Linked DNA regions of Callithrix jacchus. The protein of the gene in region 1 binds, or shares a complex with, the protein of each later gene. Links are inferred from orthologs where the notes say so. Each region holds a gene or a part of one and is shown in the gene's direction. Other genes may lie near its edges. The genes, in order: MAP3K20, MAPK14, PKN1 and MAP2K3.

Region 1 (4,607 bases):
GACGTCCATTACAAATTTTTTTGCATGGCAATTTTCATCAATTCTAATTTCTCAGTTACGAAAATAAAACTTAATGCTAAAATCTCCAGTTCTCATCAAAGGGCAAATTAATCTGAATGTCAGACTAATAAATTGTTTTTTAATCTCTATTCACCCATCACTCAACTTTCATATCTTTAACCTGTTGAATGACTTACAAATTTTCTATTTCACTCTTGACCTCTTTTCTGAATTTCAGTTTCATATTTCAGTTGCTGCATCTCTACCTGTTTTTACTCCTATGACCTCAAACTCAACATGAAGCCAGCTTCCCTTCCACATATTCCTATTTCTGTCAATGACACCATCATTCTTCCAGTCATCCAGGTCTGAAATCTTGGCATCATCTCTCTTCTCTTCTAAATCTAGTGGTTTACCAATTTCTGTGGGGTCTTCGAGAAATACTTAGTATTTCTCTCAATTCCATTTCTTTTTTTGAGACAGGGTCTCTCTCATCCAGGCTAGAGTGCAGTGGCACGATTGTGGTCTACTGCAGCCTCGACCTCCCCAGTGATTCTCCCACCTGAGCCTCCCTTGTAGCTGGGACTATAGGTGTGTGCCACCACACTGGGCTAATTTTTTTTAGAGATGAGGTCTTACTATGTTACCCAGCCAGGTCTCAAGCAATCCTCTCCCCTTGGCCTCCCGAAGTGCTCGGATTACAGGCACCACACCAAGCCCATTTCTTGTTTTTAATTCCATTTCCTACCCCTAACTTGGTTCCTCATGATTCCATAACCGGGCGGTGACAACGTCTACCACTCACCCTGCTTCCATCCTAGCAACCCAACCTACAACCACTGTGGACTACTCTCTCAAAATGACTATTTAAACAAAAACACAAACACCCATTTCACTCCTTTGATTCTAATTCTCCACAGCTCCCCAGTGTCCATGGGTAATAAAATTCAAATTCAAAATCCTGGATAACGTGGCCCCCGCTTTTGCAAGCGCCTCTAATTTTTCCTTCACAGAACCATCCTCCCCAGTCAGAAATTGCTTTTCTTCCCAACGCCCATGTCCACCTTGGGCTTAGGCCTGTAATGGACTCTGGCTCTTCATCTGAATTCTGCTCTGTTAAAATTGAGAGCAGCAGACCACGGCCCCTCCTCAAAATGCCAGAGGTACCTACTGATCTTTCTAGAGAAGCAGCCTTCAGACCTATGTCCCCAGAAATCTCTACATTTGTCCCTTTCCCAACTAAAGGAACTCTTGCAGGGCACAAAACAGCCTCTGTTTCTTTGTGTCCCCAGCTCCTGTTTGTTGAGGAGTGAGTTGAAGGAGTAGCAGGTGTGTTAACTTGTCAAAAAGATGAGTTCAGGTGCTGGGGGAGGGGAAACACCCCACGGCCCTCCCCCCACAGCGGGGCAGGTGTGTCTGAGGGGCCTCGGCGGGTCCTGGGGCGAGGGGCGGAGGGTGCCACCCGGGCGCAGGCCAGGGAGGCCCGAAAGCCTTCCCCACGCCCCGCTCGCCCGCGCGTGTGACGGGAGGGCTGCCCGGCCGTTCCGCGCCTGGAGGTAGGTGGTGCTGTTGCCGTGACTGTCTTCCTCATTGGCGCCGCGCGGAGAGGCGGAATGTTCAACTCCTGACTCCGGAGGAAGCGTGGGAGCCGCGAGGGCCGTTGTGGTCCCGACCCCCGCCGCCCTCGTAGCGCGCGAGGCCTCGGCGCCCCCGGCTACTGCTCGCGCCAGGCCCGGGAGCCAGGTAGGGGCCAGGCCGGAGGCCGCGGAGGGCGGGAAGTGAGGGGGCGAGGCCTGTCGCGCTCGCGAGTCGTCCCCGCGTCTCGGGGCCGAGGCGCCGCCGGGGCCCGGGAGCCCAGACGGCCGCGAGAGGCTGCTCGGGGCGCTCCTCCCGGACCCAGGGTCCGCGCGGCGGCGGCAGCGGCAGGAGCGAGCGTTACCGGCGCCCGGAGAGTCCTCGCGGGACCTCGGCCTCGGCGCCGCCAAGTGCGGTTCTGGAGAGTTCGGGCCAGTCCCACGGAGAAGTTGGCGCCCGAAGGCGCGGGGCGCAGGCCGGGGTGGCTTGGGCTTTCTCGGCACGGGCAGGGGCCCCGCGAGCAGCAGAGCCGACCAAGCACCGGGTGGCTGGAACGCTGTCGGGGGGGGGCAAAGCGCGAGGTCCCCAAATCAGGGCAGGGTGCCGGCCACTTCCCAGCACACGCCATGCGTGCGAGGAGGGACGACCAACTTCTGCTTTCCTAAGAACTTGGCCGCAGCGGCGTTGCGTCCCATCCATTTTCCTTCATTCTGTTTTCCTCACACAATTAGGCCAGGAACAATGAACACTGAAGATCAGTTTTACAAACAGGCGTAAATGTATCCAGAGCCACCGCTCCCCGCCTTCCTGCCCCGGGCTTGGGCAGCGTGGATCGCCTGCCCTCTCTGGCTTCCCCCTTTCCTCCCACCACAGACAGGGGTGTCCTCTTCAGTGACCCTCAGGGAGCCAGTGTTTTGTGGTCTCCGAGACCAGCACCAGGCCCAGAAGTGCTTACCCAGGCCGCCGCCTCGCCTGGCCTCGCATGCTCATGACAGCTTTCAGAAAACTTTAATTCAGGACTGGCTGGATGACTTCCGATTGCCTCAAAAAAAAAAAAAAAAAAAAAAAAAAAGAATTGGGTATCTCTGTTAGATCGCCGAAAATGTTTCTGATGTGCTTTGAAATCGCCCATAAGCGTTGTTTATGGGGAACTTTATTTTTGTTAGTTTCTGTAATAATGAAAGCAACACAATTCCAAGTATAGTACAGTAAGCAGCTCTCATTAATAATGGTGAGAATCGTCTTACAGAGTGACTTGGAGGATTTTTGAATTAAGATTGTTGAAAACTGTATTCCGACTTTAACCCTGAAGCTGTTTTAGGGGAGCCTTCTTGCTTCCCTGAACTTCGTTGACATGAACAGCTAGGATTTACTGGACCCAAACCTCCAAACACGTTTAAAGATAAGTAAGCAAGTGATTCAGGGCTACTTAATGCCCTCTTTGTAGTAGGCCTGTCTCCACGGTGAAATTTCACTTGTTTTTCAATTTAAAAAAAAAATGTGATGGCTGCATTTTTAATTATGGTTTTGGCCATTTGTAGAGCCTTTGTTTTAAATTCCTGCTACCATAGTGAGTCTTAGGAGATTGTAAATAGGAATTTAGTTTGGGAAGAGAGAATTAAGATAAAAAATGGTCTTTTGGACCACTGCATTATTTATTTTAATCTTTCACAATTCCTACTATAAACTTTTTGAGATTATTTGGGGAGTTTTTTTAACTACAAAATATTATTTAAATAAAAAATTGTAGTGATCATAATTGCGGAGTAAATGACCATGATGCAATTGCCAGGACTTTTTTTCTTGTCTAAAAAAGCAAATAGATGATTGATCTGTTTTTCTTATTCTTTTAGGGAATACATAAGGACACACTAAAGAAAGGGAGAGAGAGAAAAATATCCAAATATTAAACACGCGGACTTGGATCTAAAAATGGATGGTCAAAGATCTTGGGAACTAAGGGGCCTTCTTGCCAAATAAGGAAACTTGGCAAGTTGCACTGTGTATTTTAACTTAGCACAAGAGTGAGTGTTATTGGCAATATATTGGCTCAGCGCCTATCTGGAATGAGTAGTGAAACTGACTTTGTTAGGGCTACTAAATGACAAATAGGAGGTCTGAGGGGCATGAAGTGAATAAATCGAATCATCAGAGAAATTACTGGAGAAATTACAATGATGTTGCTTGAAAAGAAGTCAGATGTAAGGTGAAGCTGTTAGTGTGGAATGAAAGAGCAAAATGGACAGTTTATTTTAGAAATTGGTAGATTTAGAAGAGAGGAGAGAATCGATGTTTATTGTTTTGTTTTTTAAAAAGACTGGAAAAAGGTGTTTGTGGGGATATAGCACTTCTTGGAATAAGATAGCCCTATGTCTGTATTCTGAGATGTTGGAAATAAAAATGAATTTAGATCACTTGTTTTCCATTTTATTCTATCCAGGACAAATTGACAGGCTGTATCTTGTCTATCTAAATGTAATAGGAACAGTTAAGACACCTTTTGGTCTTACTGCAAGGAAGATTTAGGCAATTTTTTTTTTGTGGCTATTCACTTTGCCCCACTACATAAAAATAAGCAGAGTTCCAGCTGTGACCAGAAAACCGTACCTGGTAAGGAAAGAGGGCTGTGAATGCTAGAGCTTAGACTGATTTGACTGATACATGGGTGCTTTTATATCAGACCTTCCTATGGAAAGCTGAAGCATCGATTACACCCTAACAGCTGTTAAGTAATCCCAGCACAGTAGAAGAATGTGAGAACAAAGCAGCCACACATCTGACACCGTAACCCCAGTGTCTTCAATTGTAATAGGAAATTAAAGCCTCAGATTGAACTTTGGGTGGATGGTAAGCAATCCAGTAATTACTGTAATAAGAAAGGAGTTAAAGAGGGAAAACAAAAGGCAAATGAGAAGGAGGAGGCAGAACGTTATTAACAAAAAGACACTATATGGTAGAAAACAATAATATGACTTTGGAGTCAGGCCTGAATTTGACACAAGTTGTGTCACCTGTAAGTTAGATAGTTGGCT
Region 2 (4,584 bases), on another chromosome or scaffold:
CTCATTCCCTTGATGCCCCCCACCCCATCCCTCTCTTCTTCACAATCATGTTTTTACTCTTACTTCCCCTTCACCCTCCATTACATCTTAGAAAGCTTCCTAGCCTCCCTAGTTTGGAACATTCTCAAGCATTATGTTTTTATAGATAAGAGAATTCCAGCTAAGCTACATTGGATCCAAGACAGCTTTCCATGAATCACCCATGACTCTGTTTTCTGGTTTTATGTTGCTTTCCTTGAGGAGGACTGAGGATCCTGTACCACCTCCTAAATTGAAATCATGGTGATTGTTCATAATTTTTCAATAAATACGTATGGGACATGCTTTATGTTCTAGACACTGTGCTAGATGTTGGGACAAGATAGGCAAAGTCTGAGCCCTCCAAGGTATGACACGGGAAATGATGAGAAATGTCCTGGCTTGCACCCAGTTATTTCTAATACAAGAAACTAAGAGAATCAGACAGGATCTGATTCTTCTGCTCATTGTAACAAGCTTTAGCATAGGTGTAGGTTGATAATGGATGTAGGCATGAGGTTATAATGCCTTGCCCATTTACATTTATCTTGTTCAGTTTTTACACATGACTCTGTTCATCGGGAATGCAGGGCAGAAATTCCTAAGGGTTTTCCTGAACTAAGGGTTCAGGAAAGGTCAATTGACTTGCCTAAATTTGATGAGACTCATGCCCTATTCTTCTTACTCCAAGAGGCCTAAGTTAAAGGCTTAAAATCCTCTTCACTGATGGCTCTTCAGGATAGGAGTCAGTTTCAAGTCTTCAGTGTAATGGTTTTTTTAAATGCTTCTCAAAGGGAAATATCAGAGACTTTCCTGAATCAGAACCACCTAAGATGTACTATAAAAATACATGCTCTTGATGCCGTCCTCTGACCTACCCAATTAGATTCCCTGTGAGTCCTGGGAACTTGCATCTTAAACTCCTAGAGTGATTTTTCTGCGTGTAAGTTTAAGAACTACTAGGAGAGTTTGAATGGAGAGCCTAGCTTTGATGCAGGTTGACATTTGTTTTGGGGGGCAGATTTCATCAAGCATCTTGAAGAGTAACCACATGTCCTTGAACAGATGGGAATGCAGCAGCCTTCTGGCCGGAACTTGTCTCTTTTTTATGCAAGTGTTTTTTGGAATTTGGGGGTTCTGTTGAGCAGGTGCTCAGCTGCTGGGAACTACTCTCTGTTAAAGATCTTTTGGCTCTTCCCCAACATGCTATTTGTCCCTCTCGTTTCCCACCACAGAGCCAGGTATTTGCCCCGCCGGCCACGGTGAGGCGCGCGCGGCGTGTGCTGCCCGCTTATCTCTTTCTTCCCTAGTGCTCCTTCGCGCCCTTAAGGAGACAGTCCCTGGGGAATTTCTGCCTCTGGTCTACAGTTGTTGCTCTCTTCTCGCGAGAATTGCTTCTCCCATATTCTCCTCTCACGAAGCCCCGCCCGCGGAGAGGTTCCATATTGGGTAAAATCTCGGTTCGCGGAGAGTTCCAGGAGCTGTTCTCGCGAGAGTACGGGGAGGCTCCCGTTTGCTGGCTCTGGAACCGGGACCACTGGATCCTCAGCGGGCGCAGCTGGAGCAGAAGTCCTGCGACGCAGCCCAGAGTCGGCCTAGTAGGGGCGAAGGTGCAGGGATATCGCGGCGGGCGCAGCCTTGAGCGCCAGAGCGCGTCCCTTCTCTTAACCGGGCTTGCCCCAGTCGCAGAGGCGCATCCAGCCGCTGCGGCTGACAGCAGCCGCGCGCGCGGGAGTCTGCGGGGTCGCGGCAGCCGCACCTGCGCGGGCGACCAGCGCGAGGTCCCCGCCCGGTTGGGCGGGCAGCAAGGGCCGGGGAGAGGGTGCGGGTGCAGGCGGGGGCCCCACAGGGCCACCTTCTTGCCTGGCGGCTGCCGCTGGAAAATGTCTCAGGAGAGGCCCACGTTCTACCGGCAGGAGCTGAACAAGACAATCTGGGAGGTGCCCGAGCGTTACCAGAACCTGTCTCCAGTGGGCTCCGGCGCCTATGGCTCTGTGTGGTGAGTGTCGCCGGGCCTCGCTGGGGCTGCTGTGGTCAGGGTGGCCCCTCGCGCCCGAGGGCCAGGCCTGCCCCACGGCTCAGCGTTGCGTCAAGTGGCAGGAATTTTCCTCGGGGGAGGGCATTGCTGCCCTTCGAGCCCTGCCTGTTCTGCACCTCCTGCACCCCTCGCCCTGCACTCGCGGGTATGTGGTCCACCGTGTGCAGCACTCAGGTCCGCTGCGAGAGGTAGGTGGTGGTGCTGGAGCTCGGTTCTGGGTAGCACCCTGCGCCTTCCCATCTCGGAGGGTTGCTGTTCGGCGGCAGGCGCCGGGGGCAGGGCTGCTTTCTTGGGGGGTCTCCCTACCGACCTGGAGCAGAAGGACCCTCTCCCGCGATGCGCCCACGCTGGAACGCGGGAGCCTGTCCTTTGAGCAGACAAGCTCGGGGAGCTCCCGGGAGAAGCAGAAGGGCAGAGGCCAACCCGAAGACTTCAGTCATCTGAACAAAACTGAGCAGGAAGGGAGCTCTCTCCGGGCTTTTTTTTTCCTTCTTTTTTTGCAAACCTCTGTCGAAATCCCATCTTGAGAAGCGTTCTTTTTGAATTCGCACTTGAGTTAGCACCGATCCATAGAGCTTAAAATACCGACTTTATCTCAGTGAGCACTGTGCCAGCTTGAGTGGTGTGTTTCCGATTCAGTTGAAAGCGTATTTCCTTTCCGTGGAGGGGCGGCGGTGGTAATGCTTGCAAGAACACTGCAGCTTGAGAAACTGGCAGCCTCACTGATTAGTCACATACCACTGCTCATTTAAGTATTGTTCGACAAAACAATTTTCTCCTTTGGAGCAAGAAAGATTCAGATCTGTGAGGTGCCCTCAAGATCAAAAAGTTATTAACAGTGCTGGGAGGTATTGTAAATTTCTTGTTGTGATAATTCCTGCGAATACTGTGGTTTAAAAGTCCCTCAGAGAGTTTGCAGGGAATTATCTGCATTTATGGCTTGAGGTACACGATGGTTTTCGTAAAGATATGGAACCACATAGAAAAGGAAGGGAAGAAATACTTTTTAGCTTTAATTTACACTATGAGTGTGTTTTAAATTAAGTCGATATCATATGATTTCCAGACCTGAAATATTTCACTAACTGACCTCTAACTTCCAAGGTTTTATACCCTGTATTTTAGATTTTGTATCATTTGAAAGCTATGGATCTGAAACTAAATATCAGATTTAACGGTTAGCTTTTTCTGTGTTTTAGTAATTCGTGTTTATGCAAGATTTGAAAAGGGGCCTGTAAAATCGTTTTTTGTTTTGGAACAAATTCCAGGCTTTTGGATGTGTTAATCTTTAAATATGATTGCTGTGTTTCCTGAAGTCACATCATGAATTTCCTGTTTGGTAGAATCTTCTGGGTAATTGAGATTGTGCAATTGTGTCCAGCAACAGATCATGTTGCATTTTCTAGTTCAAGCTGCTTAAGTTATGTTGTAGAATGCACCGTGCTTGACATCTTTCTCTCATTTTTACAGTGTGTCAGTTTACATTTTAAAGGAATTTGCAACATTTTACATTCAGAGAGAGAGAAAGAGAGTGTGTGTGTGTGTGTAGTTGATTTACAGCATTTTACATGCAGTATATACGTATATATATCTACTTGAATTGCTAATTTTCAAAGATGTATTTGGATCATTGCTCCTTTAATATTTTATGGCTCATTAATAGCTTTCCATTTTTTTCTTTCTTGAATTGACACATTCATTTCTGTAGTGTCGTGTTTTTGTTTTCAATGCTATTTAAATTTTAATGGAGTGATACAGCAGAATAAGTCAACTGTAGAGGGTTTGGGAAACTCCAATTGAATTGCTTGCAAGAGTTCACTGCTGTTGGTGACTCGCTCTGAACTGGAACAGGAGATCCAGATTTACAGTGAAGTGTCATTAAAATTAACTCCACATTTCTTTAGTGGTATATTTTTCTGTGGTATAGAAGTCAGCAGTATCTGACACTTAAAAGTACTTTTATTGAACAGGTTTTAAAAAATAGGTAGTGCATTGACATTGGATAAAATTTGAAAGCTTTAAAAAGGTATTCAGTGAAAAGTCTCCTTTCCTTTTTGTTCTCCAGTTACTCTACTGTCTCTTTTTTTTTTTTTTTTTTTTTTTGAGACAATCTCGCTCTGCCACCAGGCTGGAGTGCAGTGGCACAATTACGGTTCACTGCGACCTCCATCTCCCGGGTTCAAGCAGTTCTCCTGCCTCAGCCTCCTGAGTAGCTGGGACTACAGGCGCATGCTATCACGCCCAGCTAAGTTTTGTATTTTTAGTAGAGACAGGGGTTTCACCATGTTGGCCAGGATGGGCTGGATCTCTTGACCTTGTGATCTGCCTGCCTCAGCCTCCCAAAGTGCTGGGATTACAGGCGAGAGCTACTGCACCCGGCTACTCTCTTAAAGACAAGCACTGTTAAATGTCTTGTGTGTCTTTCCAGGGAGGCAGAGTTTTTTTATTTGCTTGTTTCTTTAGTAGTATTTCTACTAAAGGGATTTAAGATGTAACCTACAGCATATTGGTAAAGGAAAATACAACTG
Region 3 (4,090 bases), on another chromosome or scaffold:
GGTCAGCCTCTTCTAGAAGGGGAAGATGCGTTTTAGATCTGCTTTTTCTGTAAGGGGAAGACACATTTTAGGTCAGGCTTTTCTAAAAGGGGAAGGTATGTTTTATATCTATCTCTTCTGAAAGGGGAAGATATGTTTCAAATAGATGTCTTCTAGAGGGAAAGATATGTTTTAGATCAGGCTCTTCTAGAAAGGGAAGATAGGCTTCAGATCTGCCTGTTCTAGGCTGGGCATGGTGCCTCACACCTGTAATCCCAGCACTTTAGGAGGCCGAGACAGGTGGATCACTTGAGGCCAGGAGTTTAAGACCATCCTGGCCAACATGGGGAAAACCCACCTCTACTAAAACTACAAAAATTAGCTGGATATGGTATTGGGCACCTGTATTCCCAGCTACTTGGGAGGCTGAGGCAGGAGAATCCCTTGAACCCCTTAGGTGGAGGTTGCAGTGAGCTGTGATCCTGCCACTGCCCTCCAGCCTGGGCAACAGAGTGAGACTCTCTCACAAAAAGAAAAAAATAAAAAAAGGCCACATCAGTGACATGACCTTAGCTGGGTTTGGTTTTGTTCCGAAGCAACATATTCAAAAAACAAAAAGAAGAGGAAGAAGAAGCTGATTTCCAAATTTAGAAATGTTTAAAGAAAGAAGTAAATAAATTATAAAATTTCATCCAGCCAGGAAAGAGATAGAAAACCTGGCAGCGTGTCGTGGTGTTTGCTACCAGAGCCACGGTCGAGAGAGAGCAATTCCGTCCACAGTTGTGGGAGGGTGATGGTCTGAACGGAGGTGTCCTGTCTTTGGTGCTGTTCACACTGGGGCCTGGTCATCCTCTGTGACAGGGCTGTCCCGTGCTCTGGAGGACGGTTAGCAGCACCTCTGGCCACTGCTTACAGGATGTTGGTGACTCCGCCTCCCCTGAGCTTTGGCAGCCCAGAGACCTCCAGACATTGTCAAGGGTTTTCAGTTGGGAACTCTCATCTGAATAACATTTCTAGCAGAGTTCTCATTGCATAAACCGGGCTCTGTAGCAAGCACTTTGCCAGCATGAACTTGTTAATTGTCACAGCCACCCAACAAAAGAGGGACTGTTATTACTCAAATTTGACAGTGGGCTGGGCGCAGTGGCTCACGCCTATAATCTCAGCACTTTGGGAGGCCGAAGTGGGTGGATCACGAGGTCAAGAGATTGAGACCATCCTGGTCAACATGGTGAAACCCCGTCTCTACTAAAGATACAAAAAATTAGCTAGGCATGGTGGTGCGTGCCTGTAATCCCAGCTACTTGGGAGGCTGAGGCAGGAGAATTACCTGAACCCAGGAGGCGGAGGTTGCGGTGAGCCGAGATCACGCCATTGCACTCCAGCGTGGGTAACAAGAGCAAAACTCCGTCTTAAAAATAAATAAATAAGGAATTAAAAAAAAATGTGACAGTGGAGGAAACTGAGGCACAGAGGAGGAAAATCACTTGACCCCTCATTTAGCCAATTTATCCTAAAAAACACTTTTAATATTCCCCTAACCTAAATGTGTACCCTGTTTTACATACATATATTGCATAGGTTATCTATGTATGTATGTATACACAATCTACCTACCTACCTACTAACCTTCCTATCCATCTATCCATCCTATTTTTCTATGCATTCATCCATCCATCTTGTCTATGCATCCATCTGTCCATTAATAGATGTACCTATATTATCTGTTTTATCTGTGTATTCATCTATAATAGGTATCTATATTATCTGTTTATCTTATCCATCCATCCATTCATCTATATTATCTATCAATCAACCAATCTGTCTTTGCATCATCCATCTATAATATCTATCAGTCATTTATCCATCCATCCATCCATCCATCCATGTATCTGTATTATCTATCAACCAATCTGTCTTTGCATCCATCCATCTATATTATCTATCAGTCATCTTATCCATCTATCCATCCATCTCTGTATATTCCTCTCTCTTATGTCTACCCATCTGCTCTCTGTCTCTATTCTCTATATCTACCTGCTGCTGCTGCTGCTTTTTTTTTTTTTTTTTAATAAAGACGGGGTTTCACCATGTTGGTCAGGCTGGTCTTGAACTCCCGACCTCAAGGTGATCCGCCTACCTTGGCCTCCAAAGTGCTTGGATTACAGGCTTGAGCCACCGCGCCCGGCCTATTCTCTATATCTATCTGTGCCCCTCTCTATTTTTTTCTGTATATCTGTGTTTATCTACATGTCCATCCATCCATCTCGCTATGTCTGTGTGTCCCTATCTCTGTCAATCCCTCTCTCTCTAGCTGTAACTACCCAGCCATCCATCCCCTGTCTCTGTATCTGTCTATCTGTTTCCCCATCTCTCTATATCCACATCCCCAAGCAGAGGTTCTTCCCTGGTCTGACCATCGCAGACCACTGAAAGAAAGGGGCTCGGAGGGGGTTGACCTCAGATGGCAGAGCTTTAAATTGTTTTTCCATTCAGAGCACAGTCCAGAACCAAATGGGAAGTGGTGGCGGGTGGCCTGGGCGACAAATTTTTTTTAAAATTTTTTGAGATGGAGTCTTCCTCTGTCACCAGGCTGGAGTGCAGTGGCACTATCTCAGCTCACTGCAACCTCTGCCTTCCGAGTTTAAGCAATTCTCCTGCCTCAGCCTCCCGAGTAGCTAGGACTACAGGAGCCCGCCACCATGCCCAGCTAATTTTTTTATTTTTAGTAGACACGGGGTTTCACCATGTTAGCCAGGATGGTCTCGATCTCTTGACCTCATGATGTGCCCACCTCAGCATCCCAAAGTGCTGGGATTACAGGCATGAGCCACCATGCCCCGCCCTGGGGGACAAATTCTAAAGCATTTCTCCTCGCCTTCAAGGTCTGCCGGTAGCGCTCTGTTCTGTTTGTACGCCTCCACAGCAGCACCATCCCCTAGAACTTTCTGCAGCACCAGCCCATAGAACTTTTGGCCAGGTGCCATGGCTCATGCCTGGAATCCCAGCACTTTGGGAGGCCAAGGTGGGCGGATCGTTTGAGGCCAGGAGTTGGAGACAATGAAGAGGTTGATGACCTCTTCATTGTCACCTAGTACTTGGATTGAATGTGATGCCCCACAATCAGAACCCCACTCAGGTGCGCATGCCTATGCTCCTAGGGGCTTCCTCACCAAGCTGTCTGCCTGCAGGGGGGCAGGGCGACCTCACCTTTTGGTCCCTCCCTCCAGGTCACCTTCCGAAACCCTGTCATTGAGAGGATTCCTCGGCTCCGACGGCAGAAGAAAATTTTCTCCAAGCAGCAAGGTGAGAGGCTGCTCCAGAGCCTCTCGGGGAGAGGCTGGGGATCCTGAGAGTGTCACGAGGGGTGACACCTGCCCCTGTCCCCCCAGGGAAGGCGTTCCAGCACGCTAGGCAGATGAACATCGATGTTGCCACGTGGGTGCGGCTGCTCCGGAGGCTCATCCCCAACACCACCTTCAGCCCCGGGGCTTCTCCGGGATCCGAGGCCCGGAGCGCCAGGTAAGGAAGGAGGGCCCCAGGGACCCAGTTGCCCCTTGAAGCTTTCCAGGGTCTTGCGTCCCAGACACACCCTTCTCTCTTCTGCTGCAGTGACATATCGGTGGAGAAGCTGAACCTCAGCACCGACTCAGACAGCTCACCGCAGAAGAGCTCGCAGGATCCTCCTTCTAGCCCATCGAGCCTGGTGAGGGTCCCCCCTTCTTTCCCCCTAGGTCTGGCCTGGGCAGCGTCAGGGGTCCTGCTCCAGGCTCAGAGACCTCTAGGAACTTCCCTGGAGTCACGCAGCATGTCTATGCTGGCTAAAAATGTGTGCCCAGATCTCCATCCTGGTTAAAAAGTGGCTCATGCCTATAATCCCAGCACTTTTGGGAGGCAGACAGGGGAGGACCACTGGAGCCCTGGAGTTTGAGACCAGCCTGAACAACACAGTGAAACCCCATTTCTATAAAAAGTTAGCTGGATATGGGCCGGGTGTGGTAGCTCACGCCTGTAATCCCAGCACTTTTGGAGGCTGAGGCGGGTGGATTATGGGGTCAAGAGTTCGAGACCAGCCTGGCCAATATGGTGAAACCCCATCTCTACTAAAAAT
Region 4 (3,859 bases), on another chromosome or scaffold:
CTGTGCAGCCTTGAGGCCTCGCGCTGGTGCCAGGGTGGGCGAGAGCCCCCAACCCTGGCTCCTGGGTGCAGAGTGTGAGTGTATCTGGGTCCAGGGCCTCTGACCCCCCGTCCCTGCTGCAGATTGAGATGGCCATCCTACGATTCCCTTACGAGTCCTGGGGGACCCCGTTTCAGCAGCTGAAGCAGGTGGTGGAGGAGCCGTCCCCCCAGCTCCCAGCTGACCGTTTCTCCCCCGAGTTTGTGGACTTCACTGCGCAGTGGTGAGTCCGGGGTATGCTGAGCGCCTATTGGTGCCCTCCCTGGCCCGATCCCGGCATCTTCCTGGGCCCTGTGCCTTTTTCCATTAGCAAATAACCCCCCAGATGAAAGGCATCAAAATATGTAAGGCAGAAACAGCTGGAGCGTGAGGAGCTTTGGACAAAACTATGGTCCTAGCAGGAGGTTTTAATGCAGTTCTTCCAGAAGTGACAGATCAGATAGGCTGAAAAAAAGAAAAAAGTATATGGAAGATTTGAACACAGAAAACAAGTTTGCTTTTATTGATATGTAGAACTCTGAACCAAATTAAAGAATGCCCCATGGGAGCCTTATAAAAATCATGTTTGAGATTACAGAGGGAATAAGGAAAAGGGCAAAGTCATACAGACCAACTTCTCTGACCGTAATTAAATGGAGCAAGAACTTGATAAGGAAGAAGCGGCTGGTACCGTGGCTCACACCCAGGGTCCTGGGACTTGTTGTCGACCGTCATCAGCAACAGAGGAGCCCAGCAGAGTCCCTGGGCAGTCTGGCCCCTTTAAGTGGGGACTAACCTCTCCCAGGACCCATGCTAAGGAGTTTTCTCTCCTGACTGAGGATACCAAGCATATGATTGTGAGGCAGAGCACTGGAGAGTCCTGTTTTGATATGGAAATTCCTGGGTCATTAAGGAGACAAGAAAACGAGGACCCCAAGGCCAGAGAAACTTGCTGCAAGCCTCTAGTTTGCCCCTGTGAATGCCCCTCCACCTTGGGAGAAACCCTGGATGGTCTTGTCCCTTCTTCCCTGGGCGCATGTGTCCCCCAGGCCTGGGGCAATCCTGGGGTGGCAATTAGGAGGCTGGGCTTCCTTCCTCCCTGCCAGCCTGGCTATAGCTGCACCGTTCTCTCCTAGCCTGAGGAAGAACCCCGCAGAGCGAATGAGCTACCTGGAGCTGATGGTGAGTGTGGGCAGGAGGTGCCTGCCCTGCTCTTCAGGGCTGGCTGGTGGCTAGGTGGGCTCAGGAGAGGGCTGCGTCCTGCACACAGATGGGCAGCTCCTCTGGCCCCATGTTGACTCCTTTAGGTGCTCATTCATTTGTTTGCTTCTGCAAACCCGGCTTCCTTCTCCCTCCTTCCTTCATACCAGGCTCTGGGAAGGGTGCACAGGCAGTGTGTGACAGAATGGGGCAGAGGGGCCAAGGGGTGGCATCAGGGAAGGCTTCATGGAGGAGGTACCATTTGAACTGAGCCTGGAAGGATGAATAAGGGTTATCTGTTGACGGAGAGGCTGTCCCAAGCAAAAGGTCCAGCATGGGCAGAGGCCAGATGTGTGGGGGAAAGAGAGGTTAGTGTGGCTGGAGAGTGATCACAGGAGAGCTGAGGAGGAGCCACAAACGCCCTCTGTGACAGTCATGGAGGACCTCCTGGGGGTGGAGGTCCTAGAAGGATGAGTAGGATTTTGCCAGGCAGGAGGAACACTTGGGCTGCGGCTGGTTGGGGAAGAATGGGCACCTCCCCCCCCACTACCCCCACCATGGTGAGTGTGCCTTCTGTCACCCCCAGGTGCACCCCTTCTTCACTTTGCACAAAACCAAGAAGACGGACATTGCTGCCTTCGTGAAGGAGATCCTGGGAGAAGACTCATAGGGCCTGGGCCTTGGACCCCACTCCGGCCCTCCTGAGCCCCACAGCCCCATCTGCAGGGGCAGTGCGCACCTGCACCATAAGCTACTGCCATCCTGGCCCAGGGCATCCAGGAGGAACTGAGGGGGTTGCTCCCACTTGGCTCTGCAGCCAGCCATTTGTCCCAAGTGCCAAAAAAGCAGACCACCGGGACCTCCAGCCAGGCCCTTATCGGCCCCGAAGTGCCTCTCTCTCCCTGCTGCTCTGAGGACCGTCTCCAGTTGCTGAGACCCTGGACTGCTGGGGCCTGGACGCCCCTTTGGATGCTGCTGCCCCTTGCACAGCAGGTGCCTTGCCCAGCCTGGATGCCACCCAAGTTGTATATTTTTTTACTCTCCTGACTGAATGGACTTTGCACACTTTGGCCCAGGGTGGCCACACCTCTATCCCAGCTTTGGTGTGGGGTCCACAAGTGGGGATGAGCTATGTGAATCCCCCAAGAATCCCATGGGGGAGAGGCCATGAGCCGCCCAAGGCCTTCCCCTGGCACGGGCGAACAGGGCCTCTTCAGAGCACACTGGGACACCCAGTCCTGCCTGCCACCTTTACTGGTGTCATTTCACCTGTTTATTTTTTTTAATTTATCTTCCATTGTTTTTTTCTTTTGCTTTCTGGGTTTGGCTTGTTTTTCTTGCATGGTTTGGAGCTGATCACTTCTCCCCCATCCCCTAAGGCACCAGCAGGCAGAGCCTCACCCTCTGCTCCAGCTGGGGTCTAGTGGGAGGGGCCCAAGTCTCTGCTCAGAGAAGTGTAGGGGGAGCCTTCCAGCTCACTCCTTGAGGACCGGCTCCATAGGGGCTATGGATTTGCTTTGGTGGTGTTTTAAAAAAAGAAAATATATTTTTTTGAAAAAAGGACTGCCCATCCTGGGTCCTTTCCTGATGGGTTGGGGCAGGTACCTGGTTGCTGTTTTAATTAAAAAAAGATAAGGACTAAAGGTTGTGTAAGACTATGTGTGACACCTGCGAGCCCCCCTCGTACTCGGGGAAGGTTGTGGTGCCTCGAGGGACCCTTGCCTCTGGGCTAGGGCCAGGGTGGCGTGCTCAGGGGAGGGAGGGCTGCCGACCCACCAGGCCCTCCTACATCTGAGGACACAGAGGCCTCCAGAGGGCTGTGACAAGGTGACATCCTGTGACCATCCAGGCACCAGGCCCTATACTGACGCTGGAAAGAGCAGCGAGCATGCAGGCCCAGTCCCCTGGTGGCAGCCACCCATCCCACTGTCCTGGAGCAGTGATGACAGCCAGGTGCACAGAGTGGTGAGCACCCAGACACTGTGCCTTGACTGGACACAGTGGCCTCATGGAGGTTACATGACCTCCATTTACAGATGGGAAAACAGAACCAGAGAGCTGATTATCACTTGCCCAAAGCCATACAGCTTATAAGACAGAAGAACAGACTAGGGGACAGGTAGTGGGCTCCGGAGAAGGCTCTGAGGGGAGTGGGGACAGCTTAATGAAGGTGCCCATGCAGGGTCCCCTCTGGCCCCATGACACTAGCAGCATGGCCGGGCAGCAGGGAGTTTGTTCACGTAAGCGGGGTGTGCTTGGCTTCGGTACCTTTGGATTCGGAAGTTCAGCTGATGGCCTGAAGGACTTGGGTCCACCTTGGTTGTTCATCAGTCTCAGTTCACCCCCTCATGGGGACCAGCCAGGACCCAGGGACTCCAACAGCTTGGCATACCGGACCCAGCATACCCCCAGATCCCAGTGCTGGCTCGTACCAGCTGGGAAGGAGTCGCATTCATCCCGATGCTGGGAGGGTGGGCGTGATGGCCCAGGTCAGGTCAGGCATGAGGGGACTCAGCCCGCCATGGCTCAAGGTCCAAGAGCAGGGCCTTTGTGGTCCTCTGAGGAAGGTTAGGGTGTGTTCCCAGGAGGAGGGTCCCCATGGGGTCTGTCTCTGCACTCCTCCTGTCCTCCAGCCCCAGTC

The links.
Region 2: MAP3K20 (region 1) and MAPK14 share a complex: the UniProt entries of both Homo sapiens proteins name them as parts of the signaling complex. The link is inferred for Callithrix jacchus from reciprocal best matches to the Homo sapiens genes MAP3K20 and MAPK14.
Region 3: MAP3K20 (region 1) and PKN1 share a complex: the UniProt entries of both Homo sapiens proteins name them as parts of the signaling complex. The link is inferred for Callithrix jacchus from reciprocal best matches to the Homo sapiens genes MAP3K20 and PKN1.
Region 4: MAP3K20 (region 1) and MAP2K3 share a complex: the UniProt entries of both Homo sapiens proteins name them as parts of the signaling complex. The link is inferred for Callithrix jacchus from reciprocal best matches to the Homo sapiens genes MAP3K20 and MAP2K3.

What each region holds. Positions count from the first base shown.
Region 1 is NC_133507.1:56,416,542-56,421,148, reverse strand, and holds the start of MAP3K20 (mitogen-activated protein kinase kinase kinase 20), read left to right. Parts: upstream 1-1,515; 5' UTR 1,516-1,556; intron 1,557-1,576; exon of another isoform or gene 1,577-1,743; intron 1,744-4,607. UniProt on the Homo sapiens protein: Stress-activated component of a protein kinase signal transduction cascade that promotes programmed cell death in response to various stress, such as ribosomal stress, osmotic shock and ionizing radiation.
Region 2 is NC_133505.1:44,336,196-44,340,779, forward strand, and holds the start of MAPK14 (mitogen-activated protein kinase 14), read left to right. Parts: upstream 1-1,529; 5' UTR 1,530-1,901; coding exon 1,902-2,017; intron 2,018-2,191; exon of another isoform or gene 2,192-2,203; coding exon of another isoform or gene 2,204-2,244; intron 2,245-4,584. UniProt on the Homo sapiens protein: Serine/threonine kinase which acts as an essential component of the MAP kinase signal transduction pathway.
Region 3 is NC_133523.1:13,248,025-13,252,114, forward strand, and holds part of PKN1 (serine/threonine-protein kinase N1), read left to right. Parts: intron 1-3,209; coding exon 3,210-3,285; intron 3,286-3,371; coding exon 3,372-3,501; intron 3,502-3,591; coding exon 3,592-3,685; intron 3,686-4,090. UniProt on the Homo sapiens protein: PKC-related serine/threonine-protein kinase involved in various processes such as regulation of the intermediate filaments of the actin cytoskeleton, cell migration, tumor cell invasion and transcription regulation.
Region 4 is NC_133506.1:64,675,483-64,679,341, reverse strand, and holds the end of MAP2K3 (dual specificity mitogen-activated protein kinase kinase 3), read left to right. Parts: intron 1-122; coding exon 123-262; intron 263-1,154; coding exon 1,155-1,200; intron 1,201-1,804; coding exon 1,805-1,888; coding exon of another isoform or gene 1,889-1,923; 3' UTR 1,924-2,861; downstream 2,862-3,859. UniProt on the Homo sapiens protein: Dual specificity kinase. Is activated by cytokines and environmental stress in vivo. Catalyzes the concomitant phosphorylation of a threonine and a tyrosine residue in the MAP kinase p38.